Linked DNA regions of Drosophila melanogaster. The protein of the gene in region 1 interacts with the protein of each later gene in a pairwise test. Each region holds a gene or a part of one and is shown on either strand. Other genes may lie near its edges.

Region 1 (6,447 bases):
AGTACATTGATAATGAACCGAACAGAATTGTATTTCTTTTTCTGCATTTTGTATTTGAAATTACACAATAGCCCCCATAGAATCAACAACGACTTTGACTTATTCCTTTTCTTTGGCCAACTTTTTGCGGTTAAGATTTGCGTTCTTGTTGTTTTTGATGTTATGATGTTGCGTTGTTGTAGGTCAGTTACTGGGGCAGGTTTTGCATTGTTTGCCGGTCTTGCCTTTATTATTGTGCCCGCTTGCCCCAGTGTTTTCGCTCCATTGTCAAATGTTTAGCAATTGGCCATAAATTCATTAAGCCGACGAGCCCACATATCGGCTTTGTTTGCATTATACATTTTTAATGGGTTAGTAGCTCGATTCAAGTGTTTGATGACTTTGCAGGAAATTTGGAGACGATGCTTAAGGAGTTGTACAAAAGAAATTTTGATTGTGCTTTAAAGGGAGAAAATGTATATATATTATTTATCGAGGAAATGCAGTTTTTCATATAATTTGTATTTTATTTATTCAAGAACAAAAATGGTCTTCTATATTATTCGTAGTTTACGGATGCAAAAGTATGTTTTATTTTAGCCACAATGGTATTTTTTTTATTTAACACACAATTTATAATTAATATAACTTTTAGAAAAGCCCATAAATCTTGGTTTTGCTCTTCGAGTGTGCAAAAAATCTTCAATTAATCGACTTCCACCTGCACTGCAAGTTGGTGAGTAGTTCTCACCAGCTGAGAACTGCAATCCAATCACTTTGCACTGCTAAAAGTCGCACAAAAAAAAAGAGCCCAACATTTACTCATGGGCAACCCAAAAAACGGAATACCAGAGTCAGCTGAGGAAAAACGCATTCATCGCGGGGTGGTAAATTAAAGGGGGGTGTCGTGGTGGGGCAGATGGTGCCCTAAGACAATGCCGTAGGACGGGCTGGCTCATGTGGCGGATACGTGATACGTGTAAGCCAAACCGCATCAAAGTTCTGAGATACAACTGCCGACTACCGCGAGAGCAGGATACATTTGCAGCTGCACTTGCTTAATAAATTTTTCCATCTGCCGACTGCCTGCCTACACAATTATTCGTGAGCTACCTTGGCAAACCCATTAGGTTAATAAGAAGCGCAGCGTAAGACGCAGAGTGACTATACATACATATATATATATATATATCTATATTATATATCTTTTTGTATGTACATATAGCAGGGCCAAAAAAAAAAATAAAAAAGGAAACCAGGAAAAACTATGCGCGTGAGACGCGCTCTAACGGCGAAAACGCCGCAAACACTAAGGCCCCTGGGTCCCTGGATCCCTGGACTGGGTTGAGAGTACCCATGGCCCGCTCCAGCTCCCCCCGTCCATAGCGTTTCGGCCATGTTTAAAGCTCGAAATTTATACGAGAAATTCCTTCAGAGTCTCTTTCGGCAGCGGAAAAGCGGCAACAGCGCTTGCCATAAACGCAGAGACGACATTTTTATGGCAGCGTTGAGCGCAACGCGGATCGATATAGTGACGGAACGAGATAAAGATACATTCGTACCGCTCTCACCGTCCTCTGATTGGCGGAGCAGTGTGCGCAAAATCCAACCCAGCCAGCGCTCACCGCACACAGATGCACACATGCACAGCAGCGAGTTTATTTGATTTATTAGCAGGCCAGCCACTCGTATATTCATCTCGCTCCCGCACAGGCGACGGGCAATGGAAATGCCGACGCACACTTGGACAGCAGCGACGCACACACAGCTACTCGCGACTCAAGACCAGTTTTTCCAGCCACCCTGTCTGGCGGACCGCACCGCATTTACCGCCTCCTCGAGCGGCCAGCGGCAGACGGTCTCTCATTCGACTCTCGCATTCGCCGTCGTCAGCACACGCGCACGCAACGTACCGCACGGCAGTCGCAGCACGCCATCAGCAGCAACATCACGCAGCAACATCAACTCGGTTGTTCGCTGTCTCGAATTCGGTTTCGTGTCGTATCGTATCCGTATCGTTTCGCATCGCATCGCATCGGTGGTTCTGGTTCGTGCCTCGTCATCAGCTAGCCAAAAAGCGGTGATACGAAAGAAAGAAAAAAAAGTCATCATACAGCCAGGGAAAAAGCAGCGTAGAACGCACCTCGAACAGGTTTCGCCGTCGTCCGGAGAAACAGAAAGGTGCTCAATTCCGCCCAGTGTGGAGGTATTTTTTCGGTGTTCCCGCTTCTCGCATACGAAAAAAAAAAACAACAACCAAACCAAACCAAATATATTTACAACAAAATCTAATACAAACAACAACAATATTCTGAGGCAATTTCGCGTCGGGTTTTAGCAACAATTTTCAAGTGTTTTACGCCGCCTCTTGTTTGTTTGCTAGCAAACAACATATATGTATATCTGATATTTGTGACTGTGGAAAAAACGCAATTCAAGCTGTTTAGCTACAAATCCAAAGATAGCCGAGCGCCACATTTTTGATACGCGTAAAGATACGAAAAACTACGAAATAAAAACTGCAGCGAAAATCAAAATCTCAAAAATCACAAGTGCAACATGGTTTCCCAAAAAATGTTCAAAATGTCTAACTAAGCAAAGAGTAAACTAAAGCTAAAGAGTAACTGCATCTTAGAGGCGAGTATCCACGGAGAACCAACTTTGAGTCAAATCAGCTTTATCGCACCGAAAACTGGAAGTAATCCCCGCAAGATGCTGACCATGGAATCGGATATGAAAGGCAGCCTGCTGCATGCCACCATGCCGCCGCATCACACAAGTGCCGCGTTGCACGGACATGCGGCATCGCCGTACTCCGCCCTAGCTCCCCTTATGAACCTGGGCCAGTCGCACCTGACCCACTCGCAGCTGAGCCATCACAACCACCATCATCACCACATGAGCGCCCATATCGCGGCCAGCCAGAGTCCCAATCCGCTGAGCTCGCTGCAGTCCTCGATGGCGAACACCCTCAATGGCAGCCAGGTGGGGCAGCAGCAGCAGCAACAGCAGCAGCAGCAGAGCTCCCCGCTGCACAGCTCCAGCGAATTGAGTCCCACCCAGAGCAGCATCGGAAGCCATCACATGACATCGCCGGTCAGCCACCAGCAGCACACGCAACAGCAGCAGCACGGGCAGCAGCAGCATCTGGGCGCGGGATCTGCATTGAGCAGCCTAACTGGAGGATCCAGCAACAACAACAACAACAGCGCCACGGCCAACAAGAACCAACAGCACGCGGATCGTGTGAAGCGGCCTATGAATGCGTTCATGGTTTGGTCACGGGGCCAGCGGAGGAAGATGGCCTCGGACAACCCCAAGATGCACAACTCGGAGATCTCGAAGCGACTGGGCGCCCAGTGGAAGGACCTCTCGGAATCGGAGAAGCGACCGTTCATCGACGAGGCCAAGCGCCTGAGGGCGGTGCACATGAAGGAGCATCCGGACTACAAGTACCGGCCGCGCCGCAAGACTAAAACGCTGACCAAGACCAAGGAGAAGTACCCAATGGGCGGCCTGATGCCCGGACAGACGGTGGGCGGCGGAGCACCGGGTGAGCCGGTGACGCCCACGCGGGTGCAAGGTCAGCCTGGCCAGAACCAGTCGCTAAACGGTAGTGGAGGCAGTGCAGCAGCGGCAGCGGCGGCGGCAGCAGCGGCAGCGCAACAGGCGCGCCAGGATATGTACCAGATGAACGCGCCCAATGGATACATGCCCAATGGCTACATGATGCACGCAGATCCGGCCGGAGCGGCAGCCTATCAGACCTCCTACATGGGCCAGCACTACGCGGCGCAGCGGTACGACATGGGACACATGTACAACAACGGGTATGCGATGTACCAGACGGTGTCCGGCGGACAGACATCGCCGTACGGCAGCAGTCTCCAGCAGCCCGGATCACCGTCGCCGTATGGCGGCAGTAGCTTGCAGCAGCAGCCCGGCAGTCCGACTCCGTACGGCGGAGGTGGAGGCGGTGGCGGTCAGGTTTCCTGCCAGAGCCACAGCCCCAGCGACTCGAGCATCAAGTCCGAACCGGTGTCGCCCAGTCCCAGTGCCATAGCGCTCAACAACAACAACAACATCAACAACAATCACATCATGAAGCGGGAATACAGCTCTGCAGCGGCGGCAGCAGCAGCAGCAGCAGCGGCAGCAGCCGCCGGCGGCGGCGAGCTGAATCACCTGATGAATATGTACCATCTGCCGGATGAGCAGCGCCACCTGCTGCACTATCAGACTGACTCGCCCGATCTGCAGCAGCAGCACCAGTCGATGCAACAGCAGCAGCAGCACCTCCCGCAGCAACACCTTTCGCAGCAGCACCAACAGATCCCGCAGCAACACCATACCATGCAGCAGCAGCAGCAGCAACACCACCTGCAGCATCAGCAATCGCTGAGGGCGATGGCGCCGCTGGCACACATGTGAGAAATGGCCAGCGCCTATGGAGCAGCAGGCTCCAGTGTGAGCGTTTCGCCTCCACTGCCGCCGTACATGCCGACGGCCCCGCAGCAACAGCAGCAGCAGCAACAACAGCAGCAACAGTTGCTCAACGGACGGCCTAGTCCGACGGCATCGGGGTCGTCGGGCGGCCGCTCCTCGGCGCATTCCAGTGGCCATACCGCCGCGCATTCACCCGCCTTGGCAGCCGCCTACCAGCTGACCCCCTCCGCTGCCACCTCCTCCGCCACTTCGGCTGCTGCTGCGGCGGCAACTGCTGCTGCCGTTGCTGCTGCTGCGGCTGCAGGCAGCTCCTTTGCCGCCTCGGCCAGCATGCTGGACATGCAACAGCAGCATCTCGAGGAGCAGCAGCAGCACCACCACCTGCACTACCAGCAGCAGCAACAGCAACACTACCAGCAGCAGCAGCAGCAACAGCAGCAGCTGCAGCACCTCCCGCAGCAGCAGCAACACCAGCTGTACCATCACTATCATCCTGGCCACGAGGCAGCGGTGGCTGCCAGTGCTGGCCTCCTGGATATATCCACATTGTAAATTATTGAAAATATTAACTAAAGCCCTAGGATACGCACACCCACGCCCACAACCACAGCCACACACACACAGACACAATTTTAGCCTTAGTTCTTAAGCAGGTTTAATTCGAATTTCGAAGTGGCAGAGTAACACATGCGCATATAAATAAATGAGAATAGGATTAATGTTTAGTCATTTAAATGATGCATACGCACTGTTGTACCACAATAGTAAGATGACAACTCACTTGCATTCCATACCGTTCTGCTTCGATTTCCCTTGATTTCCCGCTTGTTGCATAGCTAAAACAATTGTGTGATACAAATAAACTGTTGCCAATTACGGGGACAACGGCAACAACAACAAATTCGTTTGGTTTAGCATTTCATTTCCACTCACCTTTTGCTGTACAAAACATTCTCAGACATTAAATGTGCGTTCAATTGAAGGGAGCAACGGGACGCGGAATCAAGCACAAGTTTAGTAGGAGTAAAGGCAGTTGTGGCGAGGCGATGAAAATATTTCAGAAAAGCAAAGAAAAATGTCAAAAAACATTCTATTTTATAAATTCTCTTATGCATTAAGTAATTATAATTATTATCTATTATATAAACAATTTAATTATTAATTATGCTTACAAATACCAGACAAGACAACCATAATTAATTGTAATAAAGCGAAAACAAAATTATTATTATTATTAAAACATAAATCGAATCGAAGGCAAGCATCTACTGCATAATACAAACACAACCAGAGAAAATGTTAGTAAACCTAAAGCAAATTTAGTAAAAACAAACCAAGAAGCAGCGTGCAAACGTGATTGTGAAACATGGCGCAAGGCAGCGAAAACAAACAAATCCAACAAAACATTGCCAAGCACCTGGAAATAATAAAAACAAAATCCACAAAAAATCCACGAAAAAAAAACAAATAAAAGAAAAATCTTTACAAAAACATCTCGCTACATTTTTACTATTTGCCGTCGGCAAAATGGGAGGATCCGTGAATTTTGCATACCGAATCGATATGCAGGTTCAGCAATGTGTCAGATGGCTTAAATTCCAGTTTGGATTTTATAGCTCCCCCCATTTTTAAGTGGGATGCGTAATTCCTTAGACAAAAGCGATTAGAGTAGTAAAAATCAAATGAAATTCACGCATTGTCAACATAAATAAAAATGTCATTAAACAAACCCTGACAAATTAGAACAAAACATGAGATGAGATTCCCATAAAAATGGTATGCCATCTACATTTATAAAATCCAGCCATGGCAATTATTTGGGAACTTCATGTGAATCGCATGCTGCAATCTGGCATTTCAATATTTATTTAAGTGCATTTTGTCAATGAGTAACTGCAATTTTCGTGACCGGAAGGCGACGCTTTGTAGCCAACACCGTCCAAACTAATTCCACCGATCATGCATCAAGGTTGAAATACAATTATTAGGAATTTTGATAATGCGATATATATCATATGCCAT
Region 2 (5,516 bases), on another chromosome or scaffold:
CAAACCAGGTGACTTTGATGAATTGCTGGAGGAGCCACGATTCGCATCGGTGGAGAAAATCAAAACAGTGGGTGCCACGTATATGGCGGCAGCGGGATTAAATCACGAGCATCTCAGACTTCGCGGCGAGACCTCCGAGGATAGTGTCTGCGACCTGGTGGAGTTCGCATTTGCCATGAAGCAAAAGCTGGAGGAGATCAATGGGGATGCCTTCAATAACTTCCAGCTGCGTGTGGGCATCTGCAGTGGTCCTTTGGTAAGTGGAGTGATTGGAGCCAGGAAACCGGTCTACGATATCTGGGGCAATACGGTCAATGTGGCATCACGAATGGACTCCACGGGCGAGAACTGGCGAGTTCAGGTTCCGGAGAATACGGCGGAATTGCTTTGCTCCAGGGGTTACACGTGTGTGGTAAGTGGGTCTTTTGTTACCTATCCCGAATTCTTATACGTTTTTTCAAAATCCCACAGAAACGTGGTGAAATCGCTGTGAAGGGCAAGGGCATGATGACCACCTTTTATGTGCATCCCAAGGGAATATCGGAGAGCCAGCTGATCTCACCGGTTCGCATGCCAGCCGGGATTCCCCTGGCCCAAACCCCGAATCTTCAGCGGCAGACCTCCCATCATGGATCCTTCAGTGCCGTGGTTTTCGGAATGCTTCAGGCTAGCAAACGCAGCACAGCCATTGCCGGAACACGTAAGTGTTCCTTTCGGGTAACTTAAAATTCTTATAACATTAATTTGATTCTAATGCTTAAGCCACGGGCACTCCTTCGCCGCAAATCCGTCGAGGACATCGGGGAAGCACGTTCAGCTCGGTCCGGTTATCCCAAAAGTCCACCACGGTCAATCCTGTGCGCCGGAATACAACCCGTGTTCGGGGACGTTCATATCGACAGAAAAAGGTACAATACGTAGTGTTTCAAAAATTATTATATATCAAATAGTATTTAAGTTGTTCATATGATTCTGTTTAATTAGAAAGAGTATTTTCTAGAACCTATCTTATATAATGATATATTTTTCCTATTCAATATTTTAGAGTTCCTCCAACAACTCGATCGTCACGCAGGCCAGCTCTAGCTATATGCCCTCGTTCCGACGGATCGACCAGATCGAGACGACGATATCGAAGAGCCACAACGATGCGTTATAGCCGAGTACGCGCACTCACTGGGTCTAAGTCGATCTCAAGGCGATAGAGTGTCTGATGAATTTATTTTTGGAACGATTTTATACAAATGGAGTTACGCCGGCATATGTTTCAAAGTTTGGCTTAACACTGAAATGAAATGGTGGAGAACGACACTGAAGCTACTTAGTAGAATTTTTAAATCACCATACTTGAAGTTGCAAGAATTACATTTATCTCAGCACAATTCTAGTCGTTAAACTTAAGAACTGTCGTTTATATGTGTGCGTTTCAAATCTGTTTAGAGTAAGATATTTGGATCTTCCCACAAAAGCCAACCATACGAAATGCCAATGAACCTACTAGCTTCGTTCAATTCAACCATAATGTGTACCAACTAGTTTTCTAGTACTAATAGTCAATTTAACAGCCAGTAATCAATTAGAAAACCAAATATTAGTTGTACAAACCGTTTCTTTTGATCAAAGAGCGGAAATGTAAATAAAGTAAGCATACTTATGTATAAAATATTTTACGACCATCTAAATGTAATGAGGTCAAGTGTTACTGAAATGTGAAATGGATTTTGGCAAATAAAAGGTGTATTACTATACAGCCAGCACTTATTTAGCACTTTAATTGTAATTATACAATTCGTTATAAATAAATGTGATAAGCAAAACTAACAAATGGTAGAACTTAATGGTTTTTGGAATATACGTCAAGTTATCATTCAAATGAATTATAAACAGTCGTTTTCTTAACTATTGTATGACACTTTCTTTTTTTAGTGGCCCATTATAACAAAAACTCGAATGTGGAATGTATTTAATAGTGTAGGATTTGTTATGTAATGAACGTGGATTAATAATTTGTTAAGACGGTTAACTAAATATATAAATCATAAATAACCATTAGTTGAGATACGGTCACACTTTGGCGCCAAACCAATACAACAGTTGCCATTCGATTTTAGCTATAGCAGCTGGCAGCACTGCCAATAAGTGCCAGCGATACATGCTTGCTGTTATCGATCAAATATAGAGTAGGAAGCCAATCGATTTTACCAGCGCCATAATCGATGATGGCATCGATGTTTCACCACCACTAGTCGAAACACATGCGGTGCTGCGGAAAAGTGTGATTATTAATTGGATTTCGACGTTTTGAAGGCAGCGGATCGCCAAATTTTGAGTAACGTGAATCCACAGGAGTGGCGGTGAATGCCCATTAACCAGCGGACCTGACCAGAGATGACGAGCGGTACGGTAGCAACGGCGGTGGAGGTGCAGCTGCCGCTCAAGGTCGTTCGCCGTAAAATCGAGCGCGTTGGCTTCGCTTACTTTGCGCAACGGCGCCAATTTCTAGCTCCCGGCGGCGTGGAGCGCAGCGAAAGCGATGAGAAATTGGAGGGCGTGGGCGAGGAGGTGGACATCAGCTACCTAAAGTCGCTGGATCCTAAGGAGTGGAAGGACCAGGATCATTACGCCGTTCTTGGCTTGGGCAAGCTCCGGTTAGTGCGACGGCAGCACGTGGTGTTCTTCCCATGTGTTCGTTTCTATCAATATTTAATGGGACTTCCCCAACTAATACTGTATTGTCTGACTAAATCACCCTTTAGATACGAGGCCAGCGAGGATGATGTTCGACGGGCTTACAGGCGCATGGTTCTGCTGCACCATCCCGATAAGCGGAAAGCCAAGGGCGAGGAAGTCATCCAGGACGATGATTACTTCACATGCATAACCAAAGCTTACGAGATACTGGGTGGGTGTCAAGAAAATGTCCTTGCTGATCCTTGGGTGTCCTTCGGACTTCGCATTGCCCATGCAAATCGACAGATAAGAATATTTTGATATTAATTTTCAGAGCATTTGCTTAAGCTATATAAAATTATGATACCATACAATCCTGTTGAGTATAATAATCAATTAAGATTTTAAATTATCTGAAACTAATTTATACTCGATCTAATTCATTGGTGTGCTGTTGCCTTTGTCTAAGCGCGCAGAACTTGAAGCTTTATTTTTGCATATCTAAAAATAGGACTAGTTGTTTGCTCTCACATTCTTTTAAACAAAATGCCAAATTATAACTTACTATTATACAACAGAATTTTTTTGGCTTTAAACACTTTGAATAATTGTAAACAATTGTACGAAATAGACAGGAAGATTTTAAACTATTTCCTCTTAAACCATCTAATACTCCATCTTGTATTCCAGGCACATCCAAGCCGCGCCGCAGCTTTGACTCAGTGGATCCCGAGTTTGACGACTCGCTGCCCTCACAGAACGACATCGATAACGACTACTTTGGCGTATTTAACAAATTTTTCACACTTAACGGGCGCTGGAGCGAAAAGCCGCATGTTCCCTCCTTCGGGCAGGTGGACGCCAAACGCGAAGAGGTGGAGCGCTTCTACAACTTCTGGTACGATTTTAAGTCATGGCGGGAATTCAGCTACTTGGACGAAGAGGACAAGGAGAAGGGCCAGGACCGCGACGAACGTCGCTGGATCGAAAAGGAGAACAGGGCGGCTCGAATCAAGCGCAAGAAGGAGGAAATGTCTCGTATCCGGTCGCTCGTCGATTTAGCCTACAACAATGATAAGCGCATTCAGCGCTTCAAGCAGGAGGAAAAGGATCGCAAGGCTGCTGCCAAGCGAGCCAAGATGGACGCCGCCCAGGCCCAGAAGGCAGAAGCTGATCGTGCCATCCGTGAAGCGGCTTTGGCCAAGGAGAAGGCTGAAAAGGCCGAGCAGAAACGCATCGAGCAGATCCGCATCGAACGCGAGCAGCAGAAAAAGCTGCTTAAGAAGGAGCGCAAAACGCTGCGCGACAAGGTCAAGGACTGCAAGTATTATGCCAAGAACGACAAGGATCAGCTGAAGCACATGGAGGGCACCGAGAAGATTTGCGAGACCTTCAATCTGGCAGAGCTGCAAGCTCTAAATAAGGCAATGGAAAGCAAGGGCCGTGAGTCGTTTGTTGCTGCCCTTCAAACGGCCGAGCAGAAGATAGCTGCCGAGTTGGAGGAGATTAACCAGACACAGGCCAAGAAGCTTGCCAGCTCAGCGGCCACGCCAAAAGGCGTTAAGGAGGTCAAGAAGAATGAGCTCTGGAGCAATGAGAACGTGCAGTTGCTTATCAAGGCGGTTAATCTGTTTCCCGCTGGCACTGCACAGCGTTGGGATGTCATAGCCACTTTCATTAACCAGCATAGCCCGGATAACACTGTTCTGGTCAATGCCAGGGATGTGCTCAACAAAGCCAAGGCGCTCCAGAACACAGATCACTCGAAGAGCTCCCTGAAGACTCAAGCCAACGATGCGGCATTTGCCAGTTTCGAGAAGTCCAAGAAAGATGTTCAGACGTGTAAGGATATAACCCTGGGCGAGGAGACGGCCCAGGCGAGCAAGGAGAACTTGAAACAAAACGGTGTAGATCATAAGGCGAACAATCAGTCAACCAAGCAGAATGGCACGGCTCCAGCTCCAGCAAACCCCACGGCTGCACCAGCCCCAGTTCCGGCCACAAATGGGTCTACGGGCGGCGGTGCTGCCTCCAAAACCTGGACCAAGGAGGAGCAAGCCCTGCTCGAACAGGCCATTAAAACCTATCCAACGACGACACCCGATCGCTGGGATTGCATCGCCGCCTGCATACCGAATCGCAGTAAAAAGGACTGCTTACGTCGCGTCAAAGAGCTGGTCGAGCTGGTTAACTCCAAGAAGGAGGCACAGGCGGCGGTCAAATGAGTGCGGCTCCTGCTCCACTTTACCTGCCTCTCGTCCGCCTCATCCACTTCTAGCTGCTGTGTCCCATATAAATTTTATTTAAATAAAACATAAAAAGTTTTTGAACGTTTAGCGAAAAGTTACATCCAAAGATTCTCCATTTTGACTAGCTAGTTTCCAACGGTATATGCAGATCAACAAATATAATCTGTGCGGGAGGGTAATCTGCTCAGGTCTGCTCGGCCACACTGCGTCCGCCGCTCAGTTTTAAATCGAAGGCTTGCGGATTGGCTAAGGGATCCAAGTCGGCGAAAAGATCCAGCCAGGGATTGTTGGTGGTCTGCGATTTGCTGGGAACCGGGGTGGCGCCACCTGCACTTGCCTTCGAGTCCGTGGCTACTTGGCTCGGTATGGGTTGCTGATTCTGCTGGCTAAACAAGCGGGACCATAGCTTGTTAGTGCTATTTTGGGCAGGTATATCTTCATCCAGCGGCGCATCTATTAGAGGACTGTCCTCCAGCTGCTTGGAAAGCTCAATAAGCAAGGATTCATTGTCGCCGCAGGCATTGGGAGGTGCACTTGGTTTGTCCTCTTCGGACTCCTTGATTTCCGGCTGGGTTTCCAGCTTGTCCTGGTACTCGT

The links.
Region 2: the proteins of SoxN (region 1) and CG10565 interact in a two-hybrid assay, tested with the Drosophila melanogaster proteins (one large-scale study listed by BioGRID).

What each region holds. Positions count from the first base shown.
Region 1 is NT_033779.5:8,823,803-8,830,249, forward strand, and holds SoxN (SoxNeuro), read left to right. Parts: upstream 1-1,842; 5' UTR 1,843-2,691; coding exon 2,692-4,410; coding exon of another isoform or gene 4,411-4,977; 3' UTR 4,978-5,868; downstream 5,869-6,447.
Region 2 is NT_037436.4:21,132,750-21,138,265, reverse strand, and holds CG10565 (uncharacterized protein), read left to right. Parts: upstream 1-1,912; 5' UTR 1,913-2,388; coding exon 2,389-2,648; intron 2,649-2,756; coding exon 2,757-2,902; intron 2,903-3,360; coding exon 3,361-4,895; 3' UTR 4,896-5,016; downstream 5,017-5,516. Other genes in the region: Ac78C (adenylyl cyclase 78C), read left to right, coding at 9-412, 472-700, 763-908, 1,046-1,159; ICA69 (islet cell autoantigen 69 kDa), read right to left, coding at 5,104-5,516.